Caenorhabditis elegans: one gene and its partners. The protein of the gene in region 1 purifies or fractionates together with the protein of each later gene. This does not show direct contact. Each region holds a gene or a part of one and is shown in the gene's direction. Other genes may lie near its edges. The genes, in order: T04H1.5, T22C1.8, xpo-1 and fbxa-143.

What was found.
Region 2: the proteins of T04H1.5 (region 1) and T22C1.8 fractionate together in Caenorhabditis elegans (co-fractionation; one large-scale study listed by BioGRID). This does not show direct contact.
Region 3: the proteins of T04H1.5 (region 1) and xpo-1 fractionate together in Caenorhabditis elegans (co-fractionation; one large-scale study listed by BioGRID). This does not show direct contact.
Region 4: the proteins of T04H1.5 (region 1) and fbxa-143 fractionate together in Caenorhabditis elegans (co-fractionation; one large-scale study listed by BioGRID). This does not show direct contact.

The regions. Positions count from the first base shown.
Region 1 is NC_003283.11:12,249,725-12,253,619, forward strand, and holds T04H1.5 (G patch domain-containing protein 11), read left to right. Parts: upstream 1-1,616; 5' UTR 1,617-1,622; coding exon 1,623-1,797; intron 1,798-1,847; coding exon 1,848-2,403; intron 2,404-2,486; coding exon 2,487-2,625; 3' UTR 2,626-2,683; downstream 2,684-3,895. Other genes in the region: rad-50 (Zinc-hook domain-containing protein), read left to right, coding at 1-165, 217-759, 815-1,127, 1,171-1,335; lrx-1 (LRP X(cross)-hybridizing), read left to right, coding at 3,054-3,140, 3,638-3,742, 3,825-3,895.
Region 2 is NC_003279.8:7,954,920-7,960,236, reverse strand, and holds T22C1.8 (Protein-tyrosine phosphatase), read left to right. Parts: upstream 1-1,806; 5' UTR 1,807-1,917; coding exon 1,918-2,056; intron 2,057-2,104; coding exon 2,105-2,259; intron 2,260-2,410; coding exon 2,411-2,591; intron 2,592-2,636; coding exon 2,637-3,024; intron 3,025-3,129; coding exon 3,130-3,329; intron 3,330-3,376; coding exon 3,377-3,486; intron 3,487-3,533; coding exon 3,534-4,103; intron 4,104-4,147; coding exon 4,148-4,180; 3' UTR 4,181-4,260; downstream 4,261-5,317. Other genes in the region: T22C1.9 (uncharacterized protein), read right to left, coding at 331-363, 594-955, 1,292-1,379, 1,424-1,528.
Region 3 is NC_003283.11:7,802,730-7,808,220, forward strand, and holds the start of xpo-1 (Importin N-terminal domain-containing protein), read left to right. Parts: upstream 1-2,334; 5' UTR 2,335-2,562; intron 2,563-2,613; 5' UTR 2,614-2,632; coding exon 2,633-3,153; intron 3,154-3,204; coding exon 3,205-4,762; intron 4,763-4,808; coding exon 4,809-4,924; intron 4,925-4,974; coding exon 4,975-5,245; intron 5,246-5,393; coding exon 5,394-5,491. Other genes in the region: uvs-1 (UV-stimulated scaffold protein A homolog), read right to left, coding at 1-208, 258-530, 580-678, 727-849, 894-956.
Region 4 is NC_003283.11:16,124,817-16,129,612, reverse strand, and holds fbxa-143 (F-box domain-containing protein), read left to right. Parts: upstream 1-2,111; 5' UTR 2,112-2,118; coding exon 2,119-2,315; intron 2,316-2,363; coding exon 2,364-2,444; intron 2,445-2,865; coding exon 2,866-3,496; intron 3,497-3,543; coding exon 3,544-3,750; 3' UTR 3,751-3,819; downstream 3,820-4,796. Other genes in the region: fbxa-142 (F-box domain-containing protein), read left to right, coding at 13-204.

The DNA.
Region 1 (3,895 bases):
AAATGTTTCCAGTAAAGAAGAAGAGAAGAAAAAAGCTGAAATGGAAGTGCAGATGATGAAAAAGGAGTTGGATCAAAAAATTTTCCATCGGAAATCGCTGTTTAAAAAAGTCCAGGAAGGCGGTCTGTGCGAAAGACAACTCATGGATAAGGAAAATAATATTGCGTTAGTAATTTTTAAACTACTATAGTATTTTGTATCAAAATATATTTTCAGAACTCTGAATGCCAGCTTAGAAGAAAATCAGCAACGCCAAAAACGTTTCGAAGAAGATCTCCGTTCGTTCGATAGTTCACATCAACGCGAGTCAATTCTAAAAGATCAACTTACTCGAATGATTATCGAAAATAAGATAAAAGAGTTGAAAAGAACATTGGCCACATTCGATGGACAAATAAATGAAGATCGCATAACTGAACAAAAACAAGCTTATAACAAACTTCAAAATGAACTTCGCTTGATTGGAAACGAAGAAGTGAAAATATACACTCAGATGCAAGAGTACGAGAAGCAAAAAAAAATTGCGGAAGCAAAATTGTCAACGAAAGAGTGTCAGAATGCTGAATCGAATTATCGTGATGCTATCATAGAACTGGCAATTACTAAAGAATCTATCTCTGATTTAACGAAGTATAGAAATTGTCTTGATGCTTCACTCATCCAATTTCATTCTGAAAAAATGGGCAGGGTCAATGGAATCATTGATGATCTATGGAGAAAAGTATATAATTCCACGGATATTACTACAATCAGGATTAGGTATTTTTTCACTACTATTCTACAATTGTTTACCGGTATAATGTTTCTTTTCCAGATCAGATGCTACTTCTGAGACTTCTTCAAAGAAAGTCGCATACGAATACAATGTTATGATGGTTCATGAAACTGGCACCGAAGTTGAGATGCGTGGACGCTGCAGTGCTGGTCAAAAAATGCTTGCTTCGTTGCTTATTCGCATTGCACTCGCAGAAGTATTCGGTGGTTCATGCTCGATGATTGCGTTGGATGAACCAACAACAAATTTGGATGAGAGCAAAGTGGAAGGAATGGCTATCGTTTTGGCAGATATAATTGCTGAAAGACGCGGATTCGATGAAAATGGAAAGTTGAGAGGAAGAGATATGCAGGTATGGGATAATGAGCTATCAAAACTAATAATCAAACTTATAGATGGTAGTAATCACTCACGATGAGCGACTCGTCAACAGGATCACAATCAGTTGTCGTCCAGAGTATATTTATTGTTTGGGGAAGGACGAGCACGGAATAAGTTTCCTTTCGAAACGTTATCCAGATGGAACAGTGAAAAGAGTTAATACGAAGAGACGGTTCTAGAATGGTATTGAAGAATCTCAATAGTACAAATAATATTTTACGGTCTCAAAATTGATTCGCTCACCTTTTAATTATGTTTTATGCTTTGTCAGATCATTCCCGAGTTTCCAAATGTTGTTACCTCATGTTTTATATTTTACGAGATGAACCCGATGCATCGGCCGATGTGAAATGAAAAATATTTTCTAACTGTTTCAATATTCTAATGCGTTTTTTGCTACGCTTTTGTTTCTTTCTTCTTGTTAAAAGCTAACCTTATTCATAAAAAATTTCGATTCAAGATCAGAATGTCTGACGATGAGGATGACTACATGTCTGCTGAAATTCTCCAAGGAGTTAGTGAACAACCAGTTGGAATTGCAAAATCTAGAGCTCACAAGCGAGAACTACAAATAAATTCAAGATTTGAAGAGTCCAGAGACACGTTTAAACCAAAAAGGCCAACTAGTCATGCTGAGCGAGGTTTGTAAATCGTAGTATATTATTTTTGTAGTTTACCAAATAAATTTCAGAAAAAGAACGTCGCGACGAGGCGCTCGCAAAACCGATTAGCCACGAATCGAAAGGATTTGCATTGATGGCAAAAATGGGATTCAAACCTGGTATGACATTGGGAAAGCAAAGAGAAGACGAAATTCGAATTACGGAACCAATTGGTGTCGATATCAAGGCTAATAGGAAGGGACTTGGGCACGAGGTTGAAGCAGTTCAAGAACGCAATGAACGAGTTGAGGCTGTAATGCAAAAAATGAAAGAACAAGCGGCAAAGCATGAAGAGCTGATCGATGACTATTCCAAACGGCGGAAGCTTGATGCCAACTCAAAGCAATTAGTCAAAGACATCAGATCTTGTCGAAAGGTGTGCGAAGAGTTGGATCATCGAATTGGAAAAAAAGTTCCCAGTGTTTCGTGGTTTTGGAGAAGTTATAAAGTTGCTCAAGAGGAAACTACATCTTACCATAAAAAAGTTGAAAAAGAAGATGAAGAATATAAGTACTCAAATGGTTTAGCAGCTCCAGAAGATCCGAATTATGATTTCACAATGTCAACGGAAATTTTAGAAGAAGCGTAAGTTTTTGTTTTGTAGATAAGGTTTCAATGAGCGTTATTTATCCAAACCGACAATAGTATTAAATATGCGTTTATTTCAGACTTTCCACTATCAACAATTATCTTCGAGATGGTCACTTCTATTGTATTTGGTGCGGAGCCAACTTTTCCTCGCCAGAAGATATGATCGAACATTGTCCTGGGAGCACTCGTCGAGCACATCATGGAGAAGATGAATAGATTAATTATTTTCATAAAATCTCAATTCTTGATGTATATACTATGAATCCTTTTTTATAACCAAGTTCGTGTCCTAACATCGTGTCACTTTTTTTTTTTGCTTTTTTGCTTCATTATTGTCTGCTCCTGTGTTGTTTCTCAAGGTGGGAACGTATCAAGTGACAAGTGACCACTAGTCAGTCAGCTTGAAGTGGCGATCAGTTGCCGCGCACCACCAGTAGCCCCCAACAGCGCGAAAAGCTTCTTTAGCGATAGAAAAGAACACAAACAATTGAAAAAGAAGAAAGTCCAGTGCACACACGACACTTGTGCTTCTTCAGCTACAGTCTTCAGTGGGCAGCAACATCAAGTTCCACCATCTTTATCATCTGCTCATCCATTCTCTCGATCTGTTCCGGTAAATTTGATTGCCAATCATTTTGCAAATCATGGCATGGTTAACGTCCATATTTTTCATTCTTCTAGCCGTTCAACCGGTTCTTCCACAGGATCTATATGGCACAGCAACTCAGCAGGTACAGTGAACTGTTCAAAAATTTGTAGCATTTGTTCTTATTTCTCTTTCTCAAAGTTTCTAATGCTTAGGGTCTCACCACGACCAAGATATTGTTCAAATGAAGGGCTCGCCAAGGGATTTGCACCTATAAGGAGTACTGTAGTTCAAGTTCAAGTTTTTTTTTCAATTTTTCCTCGTTCGTTCCGATTTTAATGCTTTATTTCTAACTATTTGTTTCGTATTTACATATAAATCGGTATGAGCTACAAGGAAAATATTTATGTAAAATCGAAAAAATTGTGAAATGAGTCGCACTACAGTACTATTTAAAATCACCGTATTTAAAATATTTCTGTCGTATCGAGACCTAATTTTGACAAAAAATCGCACAAAAAATCATTATGGTTTTAGGCAACATAAAGATTCCAATTGGATTCACAGACGATTTAAAAACTTAATTTTGAAAAAAATCAAAACAATCGTTTTTCTTTAGTGAATTGTATAAATATTTTCCAGCAGCCTTATCCATATGTACAACCTAGTGCTTCGTCTGGTTCTGGAGGCTACGTTCCAAATCCTCAATCAAGCATTCATACTGTTCAGCAGCCATATCCAAATATTGTAAGTTATAAAGGCTTGGGCCAGGGCCGAGGATAGGTCTATATTTGTTTACATTACCAGAATATCAAGAAACAATATTTAGGATGTAGTCGAACCAGATGTGGATAGTGTAGACATTTATGAAACTGAAGAACCTCAATTTAAAGTTGTGAA
Region 2 (5,317 bases), on another chromosome or scaffold:
TACGATTTTTCAGAATTTTAGATTCATATTTCGATTGTTATTTTGAACAGGAAGAACTCACGGCATTCATTTATTTAATCGGCTGTATGATTTTATTGAAAAATTCAAATATCGTGTGAAAATCAAGAAAAAAAGTAGTAAGTTGAGGATATAAATTGCAGTTTAAAATTTGAAATTTTCCTGGTAATTGGCTCAGAAGGTGTTTAAAATAAGTAGAATGGCATTTGTGAACAGTTTCATTCATAAATAAAGATGCTCTACAGTTCTATAAGTCTACAAGTTTGGAGCATTCAACATTTGCTATTCTTTGGTGAAGGTGAAGAGAGTTTGCTACTTTTTGAAGTTGAAGAAAGACTTGCCCAGCTGTAAAAATATTTCATTAAAAGTTTCCAATTGTTGGCAGCAATATTTTCTTATTTTCTTTGTGCTCATCAAAGCTTTTTCTACGATAAGCGGCTCAGGTGCCGCTCCAAACCACGCAGGCAACGCCTACAACCACGCTCAAGACTGCCAGCTTCTGCGTGGTCTAGACGCGTTGCCTGCGTGGTTTGATTTATCTGAGGTACCTTCAAAATTCAACGATTAAAAAAAACCTTTTTAAATCCACTCGGCTCGTGTTCCTCTTCAGAATTATGTTCCATCTGAACAACATGAGAATCTCGTCCTCCATCGTTTCGATCTTTATTATCATCCTTTTGATCACCATGAACATCTTCCTTCTTATGATCATCATGTCCTACATCTTTTTCAGATTTCTTGGATTTTGTAGACTTCATCGACTTTTTCGATCTGATACTTTTGAAGCTCTTGGCCAACGATTCAGCTTCACCCAATGCACCTAATTTTTTACAAGTCTTTTCTGATTTTTGAGCCATTTTGGGATCCGGTTTCTCTTCTCCATCTTTTGTCACAACGGTACGCGCTTCAAACGATGGATGGTTACATTCTTTACCCTCTGAAAAACATCCAGTTCTAAAATTCCAACATACACATTTTGATTGTTTCTTATGGGGTTATTCAAGTAGTGTCGGAAAATTAAAAAGTGTAGAAAAATTACGTCACAACTGTATTCAAGTATATAAAAACGTGTATTTAAATACATTTGTGAGGTCACAAATGTATTTAAATACATTTTGCTACATTACTTAAATAACCCCATTAGAGATCTTTTGCAAAAAATATCAAAGCACCACCTAAACCAGAGCTAGGATTCTGAGAGCAAAGAAAATCTTATCTGAGCAAAAGCCTGACAGGAAAAGTTCCACAGAATATTAGAATATTCTAATATTACTTTTCAATCTCCACATAGCACACATAAACCAAACAGCACAGCTCAGAGTACAGAAGACAAATCCAACAGAAATTACAATCCAAAACCACTGAAAAATTTCAAAAGATTAGAAGTTTTTAAAAATGAACTTACCATTGGATAATAATGATGATCGTATATATCAATTGTGACATTATTACCGAGAGTCAAAACTCTTTTAGTGATAAGTGAAGACGAAGTATTTGCCGGTTTTACCATCTCTCACTTTTGAAAAGTCAGGAATAAATTTGATTGTTCGAAGTCGTAGTAGATTTGTAAATAAGATTGTTTAAGTTCGTTGGCAGAAATAAAAGTTCACGCATTTCAGAAATGTGAAATTTAGAAAATGTTATTTTCGTAAAAACGTAAAATACAATTACAACAACATATATGTATATATTTTTTTAATTTGAACTTCCACGTCCCCCCCCCCCTCCTTATTTGAAAGTTGTCAATATCAGAGATTAGTCGAAAGTTGAATTATTTCTACATTTGTCTTCGTCAGCTTCGAACGAAGAAATCAAAATAAAACCGACGCTTCTCGAAAAAAACGAATCGTTCCGAGATAGTGTAATCCATCAATCAACGGATCAGTGAACTGAAATAAAATGCAACGAAGAAAGGGAACACGTGGAAATTCGCAGGATGATCAACAGGCATCTCGACGCCTTGCGAAAAAGCCATCTGACGAAAAAGTTGATGAAAAGGATAAAAAGAAAGGAGGAGTACTGAAAAGATTGGGATTTCGTGAGTTTAATCATACAGTATTATTTAGAAAAATCTGAATTCTTTCAGTTCTTCACAATGAGAAAAAGGAAGAGGTTGGAAGCACCCAGAAAAGGAGAAAACCAAAAAGAGGAACCGAACGGAAACGAGCATGTTCTCATCCGGTCTGGAATCCTGACAAGAAGATCCACTTCAATAACGAAAAAACGCATGCCATAATCCCGGTAAATACTTTTGGACTTTTTGGACGTTAATTATATTATTATACATTCCCGTATACATCGGGAAGGGTGCAGGTAGACTGAGAGACCTCGTCCGGGTGGAAAGTACAATAAAAAGAGAAAGCACTTCTCAATCCGAATTTATGATTTTCAGTTAAAAGGCGATCCACTGTCGGATGTACAGAAGAAGGTTTTCTTCAAGTTTGCAAGTGATGCTGTCAAGAAGAATCCTCCAGAGTACTCAGTCGAATTCATGACAAAAGTGAAACCATATCCTGGTCAGCCAATGGAACGGAAAATCTTTGACGCGAACCCAACAAAGAATCGCTATAAAGGTATGAAATATAGGAACTTGAATCGAATTAAAATTAATATTTCAGATGTTGTTTGCAATGACATAACACGCGTGATTCTCAGTGATGGTGGTGATGGAGATTATATCCATGCAAACTATGTAAATGGTTTGAACGCTCCGTTCATTTTGACACAAGGCGCCACTGCAGCAACTGTCATTGATTTCTGGAGAATGGTTGTTCACACGAAGACTGCCTACATTGTGATGCTATGTGAGGTGATGGAAGACGGAAAGGCTAAATGTGCCCAATACTATCCGGAAAAAGCTGGAGAAGCAATGACTTTCGGAGCATGGACCATTCTGTGTTCATTGGAGGATGATAAGGATGCGAATATCATCAAAAGAACATTATCAGTTAGAAATGTGGACAATGGGAAGGAACATATTTTGAAGCATTTGCATACAAAGTCATGGTAAGCCACTGATCTTTACAGAACAACATTCGGTTTAGTGTCATTGAAAAACCAAAATCAGAAAACTCAAACTGAAAATCTTTATAATAATAGAATTACTTTCAGGCCTGACCGTTGTGTCCCTAACTCTACGATGGCTTTGCTCCGAATGCTCTACATTGTGCGCACAGCTTCCGGCCCAGTCACTGTTCACTGCTCCGCCGGAATTGGCCGAACAGGCACTTTTGTTGCGATTGAAGCATGTCTTCAAATACTGACGGATGGGAAAGAACTGGATTTGCTGGGAACTTGTAGAGCCTTGAGAAGTAAGTTAATATTGAAATGATGATTTTTATTAATCACGTTTTTTAAGACAGCCGAGCCGGAAGTATTCAAGTTGACATTCAATACATGGCACTTGTGCAGATTCTGATCAACTACGGAAAGGATAATGGCTACTGGGATGACTCGGATTTAGATGATGTGAGTGTGACTTCAGTGGAAAGCAAGGTTTATGTATTATATTTCAGAGAGTTGAGCTTCTCACTTGGAACATCCAGCAGTTCATCCAGACACGTGGAAAAGTGGATCACGTACCAACAACACCATCCACACCAGCACTCAACATCATTCCAGCTGATGCCAAGCCTGTTCCAGTTGTTCCAAAAGAAGCTACTCCACATCATTCTCCAGCAGAAAAAGCACAAGAATGCATGGAAAAGATTTGCGAAAAGATTCTGAAACCTATCAAAAAGGACAAAGAATGCAAAGAGCACAAATCTCCGAAGACTGAACATCCAAAAGAATGCAAAGATCATCCACTTCCACTCGAAACAAGATCTTCTTCGGAAGATGGACCTGATATGGAAGACCAAAAAACTCAGGCGACGCAAAAAGTTGAGATCAAAGAGGAAACTGCTGCCCAGAATGACAATATCAGCATGATCTCTCTTCCAAATGAACCACTTCTGTCGATTCCCGTTGTGAGAAAGAACAGTAAAGATGGTAACAAGGACAGTTGCGATACGAAAGAGAGCAAGGAAACAAAGGGACACGAGAAGAAGAACTCCAAGGAAGGCAATTTCAAGCTGGTGAAAAAGGTATAAAGTTCGAATGTTTGTAGTCGTAACTAATTTATTTTCAGCAATCTGCCAACCGTAGTCAATACTTCCTGTAATGTTCTGCCATTACCAGCCCGCTCTTGTGATCTACTATCGAGTTCCCAAAATTTTTTTCCTTGAATGAATGGTTACTTGTATTTTTTGAGTTTTCACATTTGATTCATCTTTGCGACCAAAAAATTAGACATCCGGTAACCTTTGTCCGAGTGGAACAGCACATATTCACCTCATTCTCGTAGTTAGCTCCGTCACCTTCAGTCTTATTCTCCTCTTCGATCGAAAATCGCTGATCTTCTTTGAACAACGATACGATTGTCGGAGAGCGGTCTAGAACACCTTCAGCTTCATTCTTCTAAATACTTTCAAACTATTTTCAGTCAGACATTTGTAAAAGTTCAATACTTTATTTTAACTTTTCAAATAACCAACTCCATGATATATTATTATATTTGTTTTTTTTTCTTCAGTAATCACAGTACAGGGATACAGTTATCAACATGATTTGCTTCAAGAAACCGCAAAACCTGAGGTTTTGGAGGGCTCTGTGCATCCAACAAAAAGAAAAAAAAAAGAAAGACTGCCCTTTTTAGAAAAATTTGAAAAAAGCCTGAAAACAAACTGTGAATTTTAAAATTATCAGAAAATTGGAAAAAACGTATATTTTTTTAAATGAGATCGTCGCTTAGCTTTGTCTGAGGGTCGTCATGCTCGAAGGATCGGCGAATCTGGAAAAATCACATGCCCTACGGTGTTCAATTTTAGATATCGGGAAACAATAAATAGATCTGAAGAAAAAATCCCTGTTTTGCATTTCAATAGACTTTTTCTTTGTTTTCGTAGTTCTTCAAGTATTTCAATCTCTTCCTGTTCTCCACATATGATGTCCATCATCATCTCTCTTTCTCTCTTTCTTATTTTTGGTGCAAAGTATCGGAAGGGTCCAGGAGCGAAAAAAAACGAAAGAGGAGGCGGGGTACACGTCAGAAAACCGGAGGAATTCGACAAGCAGGGTGAGGAGAAAAAACGAAGAGGCGACGTCAAAAAGTGATATGAATAGTGTAATTTTGTGGGAGAAGCTAGGGAAACGAAGGGAGAAGAAGAAGACAACACTATGCTTCTTCTTCTTTCTTCGTTTTGCCCTTCTCCTCTCACATTTTTTTCTCTCCGTCATCAGATCTAGAGAGATTAGGCCA
Region 3 (5,491 bases), 4.4 Mb from region 1:
AGATTTCTGGAGTCAAATCCGGAATGAAAATCTCGAAACTTTTTGAGTCCGAAATTGCAGAAGGTGTTGAAGTTGATGTGCTGGGAACTTCAGGATCTGCTGTAGTGAATGATGGAACAAGCATTTGCATTGTAGTTGTGAGTTCCATTGACAGTGTCTCCGCATCGTTTTTTATCTCGTGGTATTTTGAAGAATAGACGTTGACTGACTGGAAAGTTTTAACATTTCTTTAAATATGTGTTAAATATCCAACCTACATTCTCAATCATTTTCATTTTTCTTTCTTCCAAAATCTTTTTTCGTTTTCTTTCCGCTTCAATTTTCTTAGCTCCATTTTCATAGTCTACAAATTTTGTCTTCTTCAACGTCACCACCAAACATTTCATTCTTGCATCGTTCTTCACACACTTCTCCTTTTCCCAGCTTTTAATCACTGTTATCGCTTCGACTTTCAGCTCATTTCCATGTTTTTTCGAACCAGGGAGTGGGTTACGAATTGGGTTTGTTTCGAACATTAATTCGAGAAATTCCTAGAGAAATTTAATTTTTTAGTTTAATTTAAGCTTTCACAAAACTCACTGATGGATCATTGAGTAGATTTTCCCGAAATATTGGAAATTGTAAGAAGAAGCTATTGAACAGTTGCAGAATTAGTTTCCTATCGGGACATCCTGATCTCTTAAAATGTTTTAATTAATTAATTCTAATGTTAATCTTGAATCTTACGCTTGTAGTATCCAGCAATACTTCTATCACATTCTCGCAGCCTTCTTCGTCCTGATTTGCCACTTCTTTTTGCAAATTTTGATATGGTATTGATTCAAAGTCCAACTTTCCATCATCTGTCAGCTGAAAACTTTCGCATAATTTTGTTTTTTAGTTCCAAAACTCACTTCTCGTATGAATCGGTTCAAATTCTTCCTTATTATTGTTGTGGAGTTGTCAATTGAATCCATAAAACTGCAGTACTGAAAACAAAAACAAAAATAATGTTTTCTATCATAATCTTAAAGGCGCATGCAAAGAAAACCGTTCACAGGTCTCGAAGCGAAATAGGTGATACGGTTGTTTTTTTCAAATATTCCTCACTTTTGGTTGCCTTCTTTTCAACATTTTATTTGTTTCCCGATAAGTTTAGACGCCAATTTTTATTTCAAGGGAAATAATTTTATTTAGCGAAAATTATCAACATTTTTTCTTGCTTTGTTCTCAAGTTTGGCTTCATTTTTCTTCTGAAAATCACAAGAACGATGAAAACAACAGCGTATAAACATGAATTTAATTTCGCAATCAAATTATTTTCGAAATAATTCGTTAAGATGTACTTAAAAATTTAACAGCACATTTTATTTTTGTGAATATCTACTTTCGAAAAGTAAGTAAAATACATTTTACTCGTTGTTTCCGTTCTCACCAAACACAGAAATATCAGGTCCGCGAGTACCCAACAGCCGCGAAAGTTTTTGTCAAATGCGCTCCATCGTACTCTTTTGCGTCTGCGATGAATTCGAACAGGAAAGGCCGCGAGGAGACTTTCCCCGCGCGCGCCGGCGCGTGTCTTGTGATAAAAACTGGGATGGCCGCTGAGCATGAATCCGACGATTTCTCCCACTTCTTCCGTTTTTTGTCTCTCACACGTAAAATCTGCTTCACCGCTGTTTTTTTTCCGTTCTCATAGCAAATAATAGGTGTGTAGTGTGTCACGTGCGGCGATTTTGTTGCTTCTATTTTCATTCAATCTTTCTCATTTCGACATTTTCGACGCGCGTCTCGGCCAAAAATATTCAGAATGGTCCTTCCGTTTCTCAATTTCTTCTCCTGTCTTCATGTATCTGCAAACAAGTAAACATGCGAAAAAAAATCACATGACCCCTCCTCAATAGCTCCTACGCTTTGTTTTCAATGTTTTCCGAACGTAAAGAGAGGGCGCAAGTCATGCACATCACGTGACAAGACAAAGCGGGACGGGTGCACTCATCGAGGTGTCCTCAATCGATTTTTTACCGTTGCTTACAATAACATCGCGCGCTCTGTCCCAATTCAGCAAGGTCGCACACAATATTTTTCGCAGTGAGATTTGTTTGGCCGAACTTTTGCATTCAGCATTTCTCACTTCCTAGTCTTGAATAGATCCTTATCAATCCAGTAATTTCGAAACATTTGACTGTCAAAAGTGACGATGATGAAAGAAATATCTCTCGTCTTCTCCCATCTCCAATTTCCGTTTCTGAATTTATTTCTGTCAAACTTTAGGTCAATATTTTTTCCCTCTCTTGACATATATTTTCTACACCTTTTGGTTTGCAAATTTAAAAATAATTTTCTTATTTTCAGAACTGGGCTAGATCGATCGTCCCATCGTCAACAGTCGGTTGTGTGAGAGAGCGTGAGAGTGTGTGTGCGAGTGAAACGATATTTTGGCCTAATTTTCCAGCTTCACTGTGAGAAACACAGGATTTCTGCCCGAAAAGCGAGAGCCTGAACCCCGCCAGTTTTGTGTGTGCGTGAGTGTGTGAGACTGAACTGGAAACTACTGCCGATTTTTGCGAAATTTGATCGCTGGTAAGTTATTTTATATTTATAGTGTTGGTCAATAAATGCTATCAATTTCAGAAACCGACAATAAAAAAACATGGCTGTCTCAGCAATGGAAGTGCTCTCTGAAGCGAAGCGTCAATTCGCCCAAGGTGACCGTATCGATGTGACTCTTTTGGATCAAGTCGTCGAGATTATGAATCGAATGAGCGGAAAAGAACAGGCCGAGGCTAACCAAATCCTCATGTCGCTCAAGGAAGAACGCGATTCGTGGACCAAAGTCGATGCGATTCTTCAATATTCGCAGCTAAATGAGTCCAAGTATTTTGCACTTCAAATCCTTGAGACTGTCATCCAACACAAATGGAAGTCGTTGCCACAAGTCCAACGTGAAGGAATCAAGTCGTACATCATCACCAAAATGTTCGAATTGTCTTCTGATCAGAGTGTCATGGAACAAAGTCAACTGCTTCTTCACAAGTTGAACCTCGTTTTGGTTCAAATTGTCAAACAAGATTGGCCAAAGGCATGGCCAACATTCATCACCGATATTGTTGATTCATCGAAGAACAACGAGACCGTTTGCATCAACAATATGAATATTCTGAGCTTGTTGAGGTATTTTGAATTAGTTTTAAAATGTTTTGCTACATTTATTATATTTTTCAGCGAAGAAGTATTTGATTTCGGATCCCAAAACCTCACCCAAGCCAAGGAACAACATCTGAAACAACAATTCTGTGGACAGTTCCAAGAAGTATTCACACTGTGTGTCAGCATTCTCGAGAAATGTCCATCCAACTCTATGGTTCAAGCTACCTTGAAGACTCTTCAACGATTCCTCACCTGGATTCCAGTTGGCTACGTTTTCGAGACAAACATCACGGAATTGCTGTCTGAAAACTTCCTTTCGCTTGAAGTGTATCGTGTCATCGCTCTTCAATGTCTCACGGAAATTTCACAAATTCAAGTTGAAACCAACGATCCCAGCTACGACGAAAAGCTTGTCAAAATGTTCTGCTCTACAATGCGCCACATTAGCCAAGTTCTATCTTTGGACCTCGACCTGGCTGCTGTCTACAAAGATGCTTCCGATCAGGATCAGAAACTCATCAGTAGTCTGGCTCAATTTCTTGTCGCGTTCATCAAAGAGCACGTTCATCTGATTGAAGTAACTGATGAGCCATTAACTGAGGCTAAAATTTTAATGCGAGAATCTCACGACTATGCTATTCAACTTCTTTTGAAAATCACTTTGATCGAAGAAATGGAGGTTTTCAAAGTTTGCCTCGATTGTTGGTGCTGGTTGACTGCTGAGCTCTACCGTATATGTCCATTCATTCAGCCAAGTACTCTTTACGGAATGATGAGTCAGGTTCGTGAGCATCCACGTCGTCAACTCTACCGTGAATACCTCTCGCAACTTCGTTCAACAATGATTTCTCGAATGGCAAAGCCAGAAGAGGTGTTGATTGTGGAAAATGATCAAGGAGAAGTTGTTCGTGAAATGGTCAAAGATACTGATTCGATTGCTTTGTACCGTAACATGCGTGAAACGCTTGTCTATTTGACTCATCTTGACAACAAGGACACTGAAGTGAAGATGACTGAAAAGTTGGCATCACAAGTGAACGGAGGAGAGTTTTCGTGGAAGAATTTGAATCGTTTGTGCTGGGCTGTTGGTTCGATTTCTGGAACGATGGTTGAAGAAGACGAAAAGCGATTCCTTGTTCTTGTTATTCGTGATTTACTCGGGCTCTGTGAACAGAAACGTGGAAAGGACAATAAGGCAGTGATTGCGTCAAACATCATGTATGTTGTCGGACAGTACCCGAGATTCCTTCGAGCTCACTGGAAGTTCCTGAAGACGGTTATCAATAAGCTTTTCGAGTTCATGCACGAGACTCATGAAGGTGTACAGGACATGGCTTGTGATACATTCATCAAGATTTCCATAAAATGTAAGAGGCATTTCGTCATCGTCCAACCAGCTGAGAATAAGCCTTTCGTCGAAGAGATGCTCGAAAATTTGACTGGAATCATCTGCGATCTTTCTCATGCACAAGTTCACGTATTCTACGAGGCTGTTGGACACATCATTTCTGCGCAGATAGATGGAAATCTGCAAGAAGACCTGATCATGAAGCTTATGGATATCCCAAATCGCACATGGAACGACATCATTGCAGCAGCATCCACTAACGACAGTGTGCTCGAAGAGCCGGAGGTAATTTATTTTAAGGGGTTGGCTTTTATATTTATTCAAATTTCAGATGGTCAAATCTGTCCTGAATATACTAAAAACAAATGTGGCCGCCTGCAAATCCATTGGATCTTCGTTTGTAACCCAACTCGGAAATATCTACAGTGATCTTCTATCCCTCTACAAGTGAGAATTAAAAAAAAAAGAAGTTCTGTTAGTAAACCTAATTTTTTTAGAATTCTATCCGAGAAGGTGTCCCGAGCAGTGACAACCGCCGGCGAAGAGGCTTTGAAGAATCCATTGGTAAAGACGATGCGAGCTGTGAAGCGAGAGATTCTCATCCTTCTATCGACATTCATTTCAAAGAACGGAGATGCCAAGCTCATTCTGGACAGTATAGTTCCACCATTGTTCGATGCGGTTCTCTTCGATTACCAGAAGAATGTGCCACAGGCGAGAGAGCCGAAAGTGTTGTCTTTGCTCAGCATTCTGGTCACACAACTTGGAGTCAGTTATCTTTTGAAATTTTGAAAAAATTAAAATAAAATAAAAATAATTTAGGGCTTGAAGAAAAATTTTCAAATTCGTCTCAACTCTTAACTTTTAAATTTCGAAAATTTCTCAAAAATTATAACTTTATCAAATTATTTTTCAGTCTCTCCTCTGTCCACAAGTGCCGAGCATCCTCAGTGCGGTTTTCCAATGCAGCATTGACATGATCAACAAGGATATGGAAGCGTTCCCCGAGCATCG
Region 4 (4,796 bases), 3.9 Mb from region 1:
AAATATTTTCAGATGCTCTCCAACTCTCCCAACCTGCAAAGCTGTTGCTTTCATTTTTCCCGATCTGGAATTACAGACCTTGCGACCGTATTTCATCCTGGTCACGTCGGTGGTGAATATGCTAATTTGATTTATAAAACTTATAATAACATCAAGTTCGTTATCAATATTTGTACAAAATGCTTCAAAATCACGAGGAAATAAATGTTTTATTTTCAACAAACATTCAATCTTTCACAACAAAAAACGATACGCAGAGAATGATGCAGTGCAATTTTCAAAACGGAATTTGATTTTTGTTTTAATTTTTCCGTATTTTTACATTTTTAATCAATGAATAAAAATGAGAGTTTTAGCTTTTTGCAACCCCTACTAACTGATAAGAAGAAACGCAGAAAAGCAAACAGTGAAGTGAGTTTTTGATTTTTTTTTTTTGCTTCATTTTGAAATTTTGAACAACTATAAATGATCGAAACGCCGCAAGTTAATAAATTTTTACTTAAGTTATAGTTAATTGTTTCAGAACCACTACTAGCGCACCAAGACTTTTCACAATACCGATTGAAGTTTTTGAGAAAATTTTAGATAAGCTGGAGCCCATTGACCTGTAAGGATTTTTTCAGATTATTCTTTTTGCTGACTAAACATTTTGCAGTCTTATTTTTCGAAAAGTTTCAAAAAACCTGCGAAGATTCCTGGAAAACAGAAATTTCGGCATAAAAGAGATTCAAATCACAATTTTAACATACTGGGCCTGCTTACGCCTAGACCAAAACCAAATCGAATATAAAAATGAAAAGGATAGTTGTATCACTACTTTCCGATACCGGAAGATTGAAGTCAAAGAAGGAAACTATATGGAAATGGCTTTGAACGATTTTTCTCAATTGATGAAAAATCCCAAGCTGAAATTGAATCGATTTCGCGTGTACCTTTTCACGAAATTCGAGCCGGAATTACGTGACAAATGCTTGAAGTCTTTAATGCAAATTTTCAGTTCTGCAAAAGTTTTGAGAGTTAAACAGTCGGTGTTTGAAAATTTGAGCTCATCTGAAATTGGTAAGCTTTTGCCATACTTGGCGGCATGAACACTTAGAGAAATACGATTATTCAACCGAAATACGACATGCAATTTGGAGCAGTTAACTGATTTGGATCAATGGAAAAAGGCAAAAACTTTGGTCGCCAATGTTGGAAATTATGTGTTGCCTTTGAAAAATCTATTCAATTTTAAAAGGTTCAAAATAAAACTGGTCTCGTTTTCGATAGAAGATGCTATCACAGTCAAAAATGTGAGTTTAGAGACTAGATATAAAATAGCAGTATTTTTCAGCTTCTGGAACAGTCTATCGCCTTAAAATCTGTACATTTGGAATTCCCACCGTGTGAATTTTTAGAAACAGCCAAAATCTTCAATCCGAACTTTGCCGGAGGAGATCAATTTTCTATAAATGTTGTGGTAACATCTGGAAATTTTTAAATTCTTCATGGCTCAAAATATCTCAAAATTAAACGAGTTTCTAATGATTGATATGAACGTTTTTTTTTGTATTTTTCCAATTAAATAATTATGTGAATGTCTTTGTCAAATTCTTGTTTTTATTGTAAAAAAGATGTTTTATTTGAATAATATAAAATTTAATGAATTTGTCAGTTAATTGATTACACATTTATTTGGAGGTGAAAAATGGAAACGCGATCTATTGATACATTCTCATGGTGCCATGGAATTTCTACAATTTTTATTTTTTGGAGTTGTCAGTCCGAGAAATTATTAGCATTTATTTTTGTATCGTTTTTAAGCTTTATTTATGGAATATTGCTAAATTTTGGGGAAAATTCGAAACTAGAAAAAATAAAAAATAGAACAAATAATTTTCAAGCATAAAATACCTTGTTTCTTTGGTGCCAAACTGTGTTTTCTGCAAACAAATCGCCCTTCCCATGACACACAAAACACAGCTGGGTACAAAATACGTATTTGGCGTCTGCGTCATCTTCTTTCTCTCTTTCGGACTAACGTGCACAGAAAATCTTACTCTATCGATTCCAGTTTGCCAATTCTTTGCCCAATGTCTTCTAGTTTTTCCTGCTTTTCAAAAATATAAGAATTTCAGAATGGCTGAAACTCTACAAAACAATAAAGTAGCCCTGCGAGCATGTATTTTGTACGAAGTCCTCAGCAGGCAGCCAATTTACAATTGCTACACAAATTTTTGCAATAGAATTGGAGATGACGTCATTGGTTATAGGGAGTTCGAATTTTGGTTCTATCGGTTTTACCAAGGGAATCATGAGTTAGATTCGGAAAGAAGGTAGGTCGAAATTTTGTGAAATAGAACTTAAGACTAAAAAACTTTTAGCCTGCATGTGGCTCTATCAATTTTGGATCTGCCGGAAAAGTTGCTACATAAAATTGTGGACAAATTGAAGAATAAAAATCGGTTAGTTTTAGTTTAGGGTTTTGTTTGCCATTGTATTTTTGTATTATCATCTAATATTTGAAATCTCCTATTTTAAATAGGTTACCACACTAATTTAAGCGTCAGGTTTGGTCAAAAGTTGTCAGATATTTTATTTCATTATTTTCAAAAAATATGACCTTCCGATTTTGTTTCAGAATGTACAAAATGTACTAAACATTCTGAAAATTATTTAAACTTTGCAAACGAGAAAAATGTTTATCACTTTGGGGTTTTGGTATTTTGAGCTAATAAAAATGAGCATTTTGCGATGAAATATATATGTATGGTTTTCATAAATTTTAGTTTTCTGTAACTTTGTCAATAACCAGGACTATGCAATTGCCGCGCACCCTAAACTTACAGCTTTCTTGAAAATCATTTCAAAATCTTCTATTTTCAGATTAATTGTGCGAAAAGTGTCTCGAAAAATGAGAGAAGTTATTGACACTCACAACCCTGGCTTCAAAACTCTAGGATTTTTTGTGAAAAAGAATTACACATCATTGCTCGTGGATAACATGGAAATCAAATATAGCAGCGTGGGACGTGATTGTGTCCTGAAGTATGGACAGAAGACAAAAACAATTATTGGTGCAAAATCTGTTGATGTGGCTTTCAATGACTTTGGAATTATCATGAAGAATCCGGCACTTCGCTTGGAAAAATTTCCGATTCAGCTTTCTGTTGATGTTGAGCAAACTGGGACTTATTTTTCAACTCTTCTTGATGTTTTGAAATCCTCCATGTCTTGCCTACACGTTAAAAAGTTTCATGGGACAGATTTCTCCGAGGAGCAGCTTCTATTAGTGATCCCTTTCCTAAAAGCTGGATATCTTGAAAAAATTGAGCTGCTTTCCAATGAGCCCACAGATCTCGAGAAAATCGCTAAACTTGAGCAATGGAAAAGAGCACAAGTTTTTGATTCGTTCTGGAAGAGTTATAAGGTTTCTGTCGAGGATATGCTCCATTTCAGAGAGTTCTATGTAATTGTACCTTGCTTTTCAAAAGAGGATGCAGTAAAACTGAGAGATGTAAGTTTAAATAAAAAATCGAAAAAAAATCCAAGTATTATTTTCAGTTGCTCACAAAATCAGTGGACTTCGAGAACGGGTGCTTCAAGTTCCCCGAAACCAACATTATCGAAATAGTGAGAGTTTTCATTCTGGACTACGAAGGAGAAGAACGGGCCAAAATTGATTATAACGAGAATGGCACAGATTTTATCTTGGACTTTAGCACAGAACACTTTCGATTGACAAAAAAGAAGATTGTGGACAGTGACTGAAATTAAATTTTAAAAAATATGATTTTTTTTAAAAGTTTTTGTATTGAATAAATTTGAGACAGACCGACGGCTCGAATTTCAGGTCAAAAGTAGAATTTTGCAGTTTGCATAATTTCAGTTTTTGATCACCCCATTCAGTAGGGAGCCATAAAAAATGGAATGATGATTAATATGCTCTTCTGAAAAATTAGACTTGTGTAAACACAGTGACGGATAACGACGTACGATTCGATAAAAAGGAATAGCTGCGGGAAATGGTGAGCACATGTGTAGGCTAGGAAGCAGTAGGCATTTTTTAGATGTGTTTGGTGCGGTTCAGTCAATTTTTTGCTGGGCTTTTGTGCTTCACATTGAGAGCGTTTTGATATTTTTGACTAGAAACTGAATGTGAGAAAATACTTGTTTCCGAGTATACTAGATGCTATACATAGGTTTTACAGTTTTATATCTTTATTGCATTTAACTGAAAATGACCAAAATCTGAAAAGTACGTAATTGGAAAATGTATGTCAAATTTCAGAATTTAATTAAATATACAACTGAATCGAAATCTGAATATTCTGAAATTTTCAATGAAGATCTCAGTTTTTTTTCCACCATCTTTTGCGCTAGGTTAGCTTAAAGACATTTTTCGTTTAAAATGAAAAAGTATTTAAATGAAAAATGACATATATTACGAAAATTTCCGCTTTCAGAAAATGTGATATCATATATTTCCAGCGGACAATTTCCGCATTTCTATGACTCAACAATTTATAGTCCAAATTTTATTTCAATTCGATCATTCCCTAGTGAATGTTTGCTTCTGATTGATTTCAACTTTAAATACACAAGTGATCTGAAGTATGGTATATCTGCAAAAAATTTTAGAGAGATTGCTGCTCAACTTTTGGCACCTTTTCTCTCGTTTCTCTAACTGTCACTTTATCCTTCTTGTACTAAGCCGGCTGCCTCCAACAGGTCAAGTGGGAGGAGTCGTGATTAGAAGTTGAGCAGTAACCAAATTATTTTTATGCTATTATTGTAGATACTGACAGGATATTCTC